Linked DNA regions of Cricetulus griseus. The protein of the gene in region 3 interacts with the protein of the main gene of each other region in a biochemical or structural test. Links are inferred from orthologs where the notes say so. Each region holds a gene or a part of one and is shown on either strand. Other genes may lie near its edges.

What was found.
Region 1: the proteins of Cask (region 3) and Fchsd2 form a complex in vitro, tested with the Homo sapiens proteins (2 studies listed by BioGRID and IntAct, with this or other methods). The link is inferred for Cricetulus griseus from reciprocal best matches to the Homo sapiens genes CASK and FCHSD2.
Region 2: the proteins of Cask (region 3) and Prkn form a complex in vitro, tested with the Homo sapiens proteins (2 studies listed by BioGRID and IntAct, with this or other methods). The link is inferred for Cricetulus griseus from reciprocal best matches to the Homo sapiens genes CASK and PRKN.

The regions. Positions count from the first base shown.
Region 1 is NC_048596.1:98,265,190-98,268,854, reverse strand, and holds part of Fchsd2 (F-BAR and double SH3 domains protein 2), read left to right. Parts: intron 1-79; coding exon 80-196; intron 197-2,301; coding exon 2,302-2,406; intron 2,407-3,665. UniProt on the Homo sapiens protein: Adapter protein that plays a role in endocytosis via clathrin-coated pits. Contributes to the internalization of cell surface receptors, such as integrin ITGB1 and transferrin receptor.
Region 2 is NC_048595.1:288,897,077-288,899,416, forward strand, and holds the end of Prkn (E3 ubiquitin-protein ligase parkin), read right to left. Parts: intron 1,836-2,340; coding exon 1,723-1,835; 3' UTR 519-1,722; downstream 1-518. UniProt on the Homo sapiens protein: Functions within a multiprotein E3 ubiquitin ligase complex, catalyzing the covalent attachment of ubiquitin moieties onto substrate proteins. Substrates include SYT11 and VDAC1.
Region 3 is NC_048604.1:119,082,996-119,085,365, forward strand, and holds the end of Cask (peripheral plasma membrane protein CASK), read right to left. Parts: intron 2,021-2,370; coding exon 1,844-2,020; 3' UTR 637-1,843; downstream 1-636. UniProt on the Homo sapiens protein: Multidomain scaffolding Mg(2+)-independent protein kinase that catalyzes the phosphotransfer from ATP to proteins such as NRXN1, and plays a role in synaptic transmembrane protein anchoring and ion channel trafficking.

The DNA.
Region 1 (3,665 bases), on a different chromosome or scaffold from region 3:
CCCTCTGGTCCAACGACAGATGGTAGAAGTTGCAGTGGAGATAACAGTACTTCTCTCTCTGTTCTCTCTTGTGTTGTAGAGTCGACAGTTAGAATCAGAAACTGGTACCACAGAGGAACACAGTCTAAATAAGGAGGCTCGGAAATGGGCCACACGTGTGGCACGTGAGCACAAAAATATTGTTCATCATCAGCGGGTGAGTATGGTAAAGCGCCATGACTGTATGCAACTGAAATCAGATTTCAGAGAGACTTAAGGAGTTGAATTTTATTTTTATTTGTGTTTGCCTGTGCACTATGTGTGTGCCTGATGTCCATGGAGATCAGAAAAGAGCACTGGGAATTGGATCCACTGGAACTAGAGTTATAGACGGTTGTGAGCTGCCTTGTGTGTGCTGGAAATTGAACCTGGATCTCTGGAAGAGCAGCCCATGCTCTTACCCACTGAGCCATCTCTCCAACTCCAACAAGTTTAATTTTCTGAATGTGAAGAATCCTATGTATGTTTTCCCTGTATGTTCTCAACAATCAGCATTATGCTCTTAACTCTTGCCTGCCTTGAAAAACCCATAAGATTTTTTGTTTGCTTGTTTGTTTGTTTTTGTTTTTGTTTGAGACAGGGTCTACTGGACGTAGATCTGGCTTTTCTGGTATGCATTATATTTAGACCAAGCTGGCCTCAAACTAACATCTTCCTCTGACCTACATACACACATACATACTCAGTAAAAATAGAAATACAGATGGACAGCCACACATGAAACTGTGCTTTCTATAAAGTCATAAAAATGAAATAAATTTTTCAAAATTCTGTGTCAGCATAAATTTAAAGTTTGGCTAGGATATGGTTAGGATACAGGGAAGGGTTGTACATATACAACTTTTTAGGGGAAATTTGCCAATGTCTATTAGTATTAAAATACAAAAGTGCAAGATAAAGTTCACTAGTAGAGCATCTGCTTACTGTGCCCAAGGTAGTTGATTTGATCACCAGTACAGCAAAACAGTGAACAAACAACATGTACAAATTCCACTTTTATGTTTTCATCTCAAATAAATACTCCAGTGTGCTCAAAGAGTCATTACTCAGGTTCCTTGTGTAGTTCTGTTTGCAGTGTTGAGAAATTTGAAAATCTTAATAGCAGTGCTCTAAGTGTAAGTATTTATCATTAAGCTGTTGGGCATGTACTTTAAGGAAAATGAGTCTCTGCAAACATGACAAGGTTTGGTACAAACATTGAGGGAATGATATATCATTTTTTCTCCCCACAAACAAGATTTTCATAAAAACGATTTGGAAAAATACAATTGATGGGGTAGTAATATCTTAGTGTAGAGAATATGTGATGGATTCATTGTGCAAGAATGAAAATTTTGTGTTGTTTTACATTGTGAATACTGACTCATCAGGCAGGTGTGACTGTGCAAACCTTGTAGTCCTAGAACTAGAGAAGTAGAAGCTGGAAGATCAGAACTCCAGGCTAGCCACCTAGTGAATTTGAGACTAGCCCGAGCTTCATAAGACCCTATTTTAACAACACAAATATTCCATATCCATCATTTTTTTAATTCAAAGCATAAATTAAAAATTAAGGTGTACAGATTATATGTCAGTTTCTTGATTTTGTGCCCTTATTTACTCTTTTACTTTCCATCATGGCTTCAGTTCCCTTAGGTCCAGAAATATTAAATGGGAAATGGATGAACAAACACTTAAGGAGTTTTTAAATGCCCACCATTCTGTAGCATAATAAAGTCTACTCTATCCCACTAGGGTTGTAGATTACTTTATCCAGCATATCCACATTGTCAACTCTACTCACCTGTGAGGTACTTCATCTCCATCTGTTACCAGATGACATACCTCAGTATCACAGTGCTAGTGTTCAAGTAACCCCAAATTTCAGTTAATTGTTTATCATACAAGTCCAGTACTCAGGAGGTAACAGCTTGTTATGAACCACAGAAGGGCAGGTCAACTATGGTGCTATGTTCATACTGCAGGACACATTGGAAACCCTAGTAAATAGAAAGTTCCATACTGCTGTGGTTTAGGGTACTCACTGAGATCTTGAAATGCATCTCCAGAAGAAGGGCTGTTATTGAATGGTTTTATAAGTTGTTACTATCAGAGGAAGCTAAGACAGTAACTCCTCTGTTTTACAACTTTCAGTTTTTAAAAATTAGTTAAAAAGTAAAAGTTTAAAAATGAGTCATGACTTTAGCCCCTGAACCCTTTGGAATTACCTAAATACTTAAGGAAAGAATACACAAAAACAGTCATCTTTATTTTCTTTGATAGGTTCTGAATGATCTGGAATGTCATGGAGTTGCTGTATCAGAACAAAGTCGAGCAGAGCTGGAACAGAAAATAGATGAAGCTAGAGAAAATATACGTAAAGCAGAGGTAAGCACCTTTGAAACTGAGTTTCTACATGGGTATTTTAAGTTGAAGACGATGAACAATCTCTGTGTCCACAGTATTTTTGTGTACCTATAGCACTTAAAACAAAAACTCTAAACCTACTGTGAAGAACCCATAGTCATGAAACAGTAAACAGCAAAAGGAATGTCACAATGCAGATGTTGATTTTAAAGTTTTCACAGAATATTAAGTCAGTTATATTAATGGTAGAAAAACTGATACATGTATGTTCAGATGAATGTCTCCATATGGCAGGTTCCCTAATCCAGGGGAACAAGCAAAGATTTGTCTAAGAAGGAAGGGAATGAAAAACACGTAATTGTAGATTTTCAGTTTTTTTTGAGTCATGAGACCTTTTTAGGGGCTGTATAGCTATGAAATCTCTCCCACCAAAAAAAAAAAAAAAAAAAAAAAAAAGTTGCCATAATGATTCTCTGTCCCCTAGAAGGGGGTAGTTAAAATGAGAAGCAGTGAAGTGGTAATTTACATAGGGTGTACTTTGGCAGTTTGAGATGATTAAAGTCAGGTTATCAGTAAGAAAATGTGCTTTTGGAAAGGAGATAAACTAATTGTGATTAGAGCCAATTCACTAAGGACCTATGCACACATGTTGAAAACAAATGAAGAAAATAATGATTTTTTAAAAGGCCCAACCAGATTATGTTTTTGTTAAGGAGGCAAAAAGCTAGGGATATGGAACAGGAGTGGGCCACACAGAATCAGAGGAATTCTGTCAGATCAGAGGTGGAATTTAAGTTGAGTAGCAGCCTGGGAATAATATATGAGTCACAGCAAAGGAAGCAACACAAATGTGTGTCATGCAGACCCACCAGGCTAAATTTGAACCAAAAGATGAAGATAGGAAGGAAGCAGACTTGATTTTGAGATTAGGAAATGTTTTCTTTTTGGTGGCCAAATATATACCCCAGGGAACATAATACAGCATTGTAAGTAGAAAAAAGATTCTAGATGAGGACTGGAGAGATGGCTCAGTTAGTAAAGTGCTTGCCATGCAAGCATGAGGACCTGAGTTCTATCCCCGGTGCCCATTTGATACCAGCACTGGGGAGGTGGAGACAGTCATGCTAGCTGGATCCGTGAGCTTCTAGGTTCAGTGAGAGGCCTTTTCTCAAAAAATAGTGGTAAAAATAATGTTATGTGTGTGGAGGACTTTCCTTTAACCCAGTACTCAGGAAGCAGAGGGAGGCAAATATCTTTGAATTTAGGGCCAGCCTGGTCTT
Region 2 (2,340 bases), on a different chromosome or scaffold from region 3:
ATGGGCTTAGGTCTGCTCTCCTCGCCTCACACTACAAGATACCATAGCATCGTTTCCATCTGATCTTTGGCTTCTGGACTTGGGTCTGGCAGCCCTGGATTATGAAGGAGAGGATGGATTTTCTAGCAGTTGGTGATAAGTCATGTTGTGTGGCCCCCTCTCACACTACTGCCTTGTTCCAGTACTGTGTCTCTGAGGAAGGGGAGGGAAGCCTGCTCCTGGGGAGTGTTCTGGGTGAGGCTGCTTGGGGTGGGGGAGCAGGTGCTCTTGGGATATGACCTGAAAATTCTGAGGTCACTGCCTCTTCTCCCACCAGCATCGGATTCTGTTGGTTGTATCTACTTATTGATTTCAGAAGGTTCAGGCCTCTTAAGTCCCAAGGGGCCTCAGGGGCCAGTGAGACCCTCAGCTGCCAGCTCAGCCTCCTGAGAAGTCAGAAAATCAAATGAGAGGGAAAGGCAGAGACCACGCCTCACCCCTGTGCACAGGGTGCAGTAGAAACTGCATCTCACAGTACCTAGTGGAAACAGCTTTATGTGTTATGAGTGCCTCACAAACCAAACCAAACGAAACACAACAGGAAAAAATAAAATCTTGAAAACTTAACATTCAAATGTGATGTGTATTTACCTAAGGAATATTCTAGTGTGTTTATTGTCCTTCGCAAAAGGTTCTGCCTGTAGGACCACTGGGTGCATGGGACTCCCTGGGACTTAGGGGGTAAGTACACAGAGGTGTCTCCCTTTCTGATGGAGGGTCAGGCATGTTCTCATGTGGCTGATCTAGAAATGCCGCTTCTATAAATATTCCATAAATATAAACCCGGCCTGCACTGCTGTTAGCGTTGGAATAGCATCATGGGATTGTTTCTAAAAACATGCCCTTTATAGGCACTTTTTCTATTAAGTTCACAGTGAAGACAAATGCATGGGCTAAACTTCCAGGCTGCAATATGAATACTTCAAACCAAATTCCAGACTTTGCAATAATTTCAGGAAAAAAAGAGTAATTTCTTTCTAAAGTTGCAGGTAATTAAGCGAGTGGAAGTAGGTTCCACTTTGATGCCCTCACTGTAATTTAAACAGTCTGCATTCAAATTATGTTTTCCAGTTTCTCACTTGGTTGATAAGTTGATTTGTATGCCGCCGAGCTGTCATCTCATCAGCACCATTTATAAAGATAGGATTCTTGGGGATAAACAAATATTTTTGACTATTGCCGGGGAGGGCCCCCTGGGAATAGGTGATTGCTGAGTAAGAACACTGTCCCTCACATCTCGAGTGTGCTCTTGAGATTCCACGGCAGTCTAATTTACACAGAGCGTGGCAACAGCCTTGGAGAGCTGTGGCTTCGCCTAAGGCTTCTACATGGATTTAGTGAAGGTGAAGTCGGGAAATTAAACCTGGAAAAGCCCTCCCTAGGGCTGGATTCCTGCTGGGATGAGAAATCCAAAACAAGGGGCTACACTCTCTTCCCAGTGTTGGATAGTTGCATATGCCAGAGGCCCGAAAGTGCCTCTCACTGGGTGCCTAGTGGGTGCTGCTGGCTTCCGTGGGTGCCTGTGGAAAGGATCTAGTGGCCGAGTCTGTAATTTGCAGTCTGTGTTTGTGCGTGTGCATTGTATGTGCTTATATGCCCAGAGACGACGAAATGGCTAAGAAGGCAGGAGTCCACGTGTTTCCCGTAAGGAGGTGTGGTCAGGGGCAGTGCCTGAGTGTCTGTCTACACGTCGAACCAGTGATCACCCATGCAGGCTCGGTTCCACTCACAGCCGCAGTTCCAGCACCACTCCAGTCTGCACTGAGGCTGTGGACACTTCATGTGCATACATCCTCCTGTGGGTACAAAGGATACAGGTGCTGTGGGCTTGTGGCAAACACGGGGAGCCCTTGCCCCCATGCCATCCCAGAAATGACTCTTGTAGCCAAAAATCCCCAGCAAGGAGGGCAGAGAGACTCTGAGCCAGGGGGAATAATCAGAAACAACAGGAGGCAACATCCCCCTCCCCCAAGTGAGAAAAGATAAGATAATGACATGGACAAAGGGCTCTTTGCCTTCAGAACAAATCCCATTCACAGTCTGAGTTTCTCATCTTTCCCTCATGTGCTCAGACATAAATGGTGTGTTTCACAGCCTGCTGATTCTTCATTAAAAAAAAAAAATAGAGCCATATTAAACTCATGATTTTCAAATACCTATGAAACATTTAATAATTTAATATATGATACACTAAAGTTCATTTATTTCATATTTATTCAGTGTTACTTGGTTCAGCAAAATGTGTGAGTAGGAGTTGTGACAGCATATTACTTTTAATAGAGAATGTGTTCCTTAATGATG
Region 3 (2,370 bases):
CACAATATCTTGTGGGTAAGTTGTGACCCATCTGGGCACTGACAAAGAATTGTCTACAAACAGAAACCAAATGGCATTGTGTACTAATAGCTGGGGAGGGTGGGATGTCGAGAATGGAGGAGGAGTATGAGCACAAGCATGCCTTTTCTGTTCAGTGCCCAAGAGGAGCCGTTCAGTCCAGAACTCGTTCTGCACATCCTGCCAAGGCACAAAGTGACAGAGGCCATCTAATCCACAAGCGATGAAAGTGATGGTATGTTTCCAAGGACCAAAGTCACATCAATGCCTTGTTCTCGAACATATGAAGGTGAACACTAGTGGCCTCTGGCAAAGAGTCTGAGGATCCCAGCCTGAACCTCCTCCAGTGATTCTCACATGGCAGGGGATGAGATGGTGAATGGTTCTAAAGCAACAAGGACAGGTGACTCCCCTGTGCCAAGGGATAGAGCAAGAAGAAGGAGAGACCACAGGTGGCCCTTCGAGTCAGATGTGCTCCAAGCTGTGCTCTGGCAGGCTGCTTTGTTACCCTGCCAACTGATACTCACTCTTGGGCCTTCAATGGGTCAGTGAGCATTCAGCAAATTTTAAAACTGAAAAAATTAGCAGCTTGGAGATCTGAACAAATCTGCAATGAAATGAAGGACCCAAAGGCATTTAATTATTGAACACATACAATGAAGTATATTTAAAAAAAATTGGTCAGACTGTCCTGTTAGTTATCATTTTAAAGGAATTTACAGAGCTGTTATAGATTATTCTTTTGGAATAATTCAGTTTATAGCAAATGCCTAAACTGGTTTCTTCATTGCACAGTATATTCTCTTTAAATGGGAGCTTAAAACAATTCCATACAGATTAAAAATCCGCATTTCTTTGCTTAATTAAAACGTTAATACTCTTAGACAACACAGATCTGAAATGGCGAAACCAGCAATACCCCCTCCCACCTTACAACAAATTAAATTGAGACAAAATTACAAACACATTTCACTACGTGATTATTATTAATAAAAATCAGTTTCTTTTTTTTTTCTGTTTTATAAAGTTGCCCGAAATGCAAGGGATGTGCATAGGTTTACAACTTAGTCATAATAGCAATTTATTCTTATTCCCCTGGGTGTGCCCCGTGAACGGAATGTACTTTGCTGTAATTACAGATTGTTTTGTCCAACACAGACACACCGACAGCATAAACGCTCGCGACTGTCCACATGCATTAAGAGTCAAGACCCAACTTCAAATCTCTAAAAGGTTTACAGGGTGCTTCAAAGAGACAGTATCACAGTATCTGGGTGTTACATAAAGGACTTCAAAAAAAGAGAGAGAAAAAAGGCTTTTAAAAATTTATGACTGTTTTGTAATCACTAGACTAATTATTTCAAATAAATAAAGGAAAGAAAGATATTCCAATCCATAAAATCAGACTCTAAAAAGAATGTAGTGTTCCACCCCCAGTCAAGGTAACAGAATCATTGTTTATTATTATTAAAATAGATTATAGAAAGCAGCATCTATTTTGTGCAGTTTTTAGGGGCCTTGGAAATAAAAAGCTATGATTTCCAAAAATATAACATTCCAAAGGATTGAATAATACATACATTTAAAGATACATTTTATTAAAGTTTAGGAGAACTGATTAAAAAAGATACTGTCTCTTTAAATTAGTGTGTAATTGTTTTTCTCCTCCTATCTATTCGGACATGACAATAATTATAAATGTAGGTCACACTACAACTAGGTAGTCTCTAGGGACCACGACCTGCTGACACAAGGCCGATAACAAAGAGGCTTTTCCACATAGGAGGCGGCTCCCAGTTTTATACTCAGATAGCCAGGGAGAAGCCTAATAGACCCAGGAGACTGGGACCCACTGTGGGGCTGTGCACACGAGCTCAACGGCTTCCTCCAGATGTCTGATTGTCTCATCAATTTCATTGTTGATAATTGTGAGATCGAAGTAGTGTGCATATGTTCTCTGTAAGACATCGGACTCCTTCTGCAGGCGCTGGAGAGATTCATCCTGCATAGGGTGGCATGGTAGAGGGGCAGGTACGGGAGAAAGGCAAAGCAAATATAAGAGCAAAGTCAGTTGTAGTCTTTTTCTTTCTACATTTCAGTTCATTCCAGGGTCAGAACAGGTCAAAACTAAACAATGGTGGGGCACGAGGCCAAGATGGCTGTGTGACAGGAGATGATGGTCCCTGTCCTATGATGAGAGGGTTATAGAAGTTGCACTGGCAACAGTGACTGGTTGACATGCAACAGGGGTCACTGTGAAAAATAGACAAAACCAACATTCCAGCAAACACATGGCCCCCACTCAGGCCCACCTGGGCCTATCCCCAGAGCCACCTATCCCCATGGGCTTCC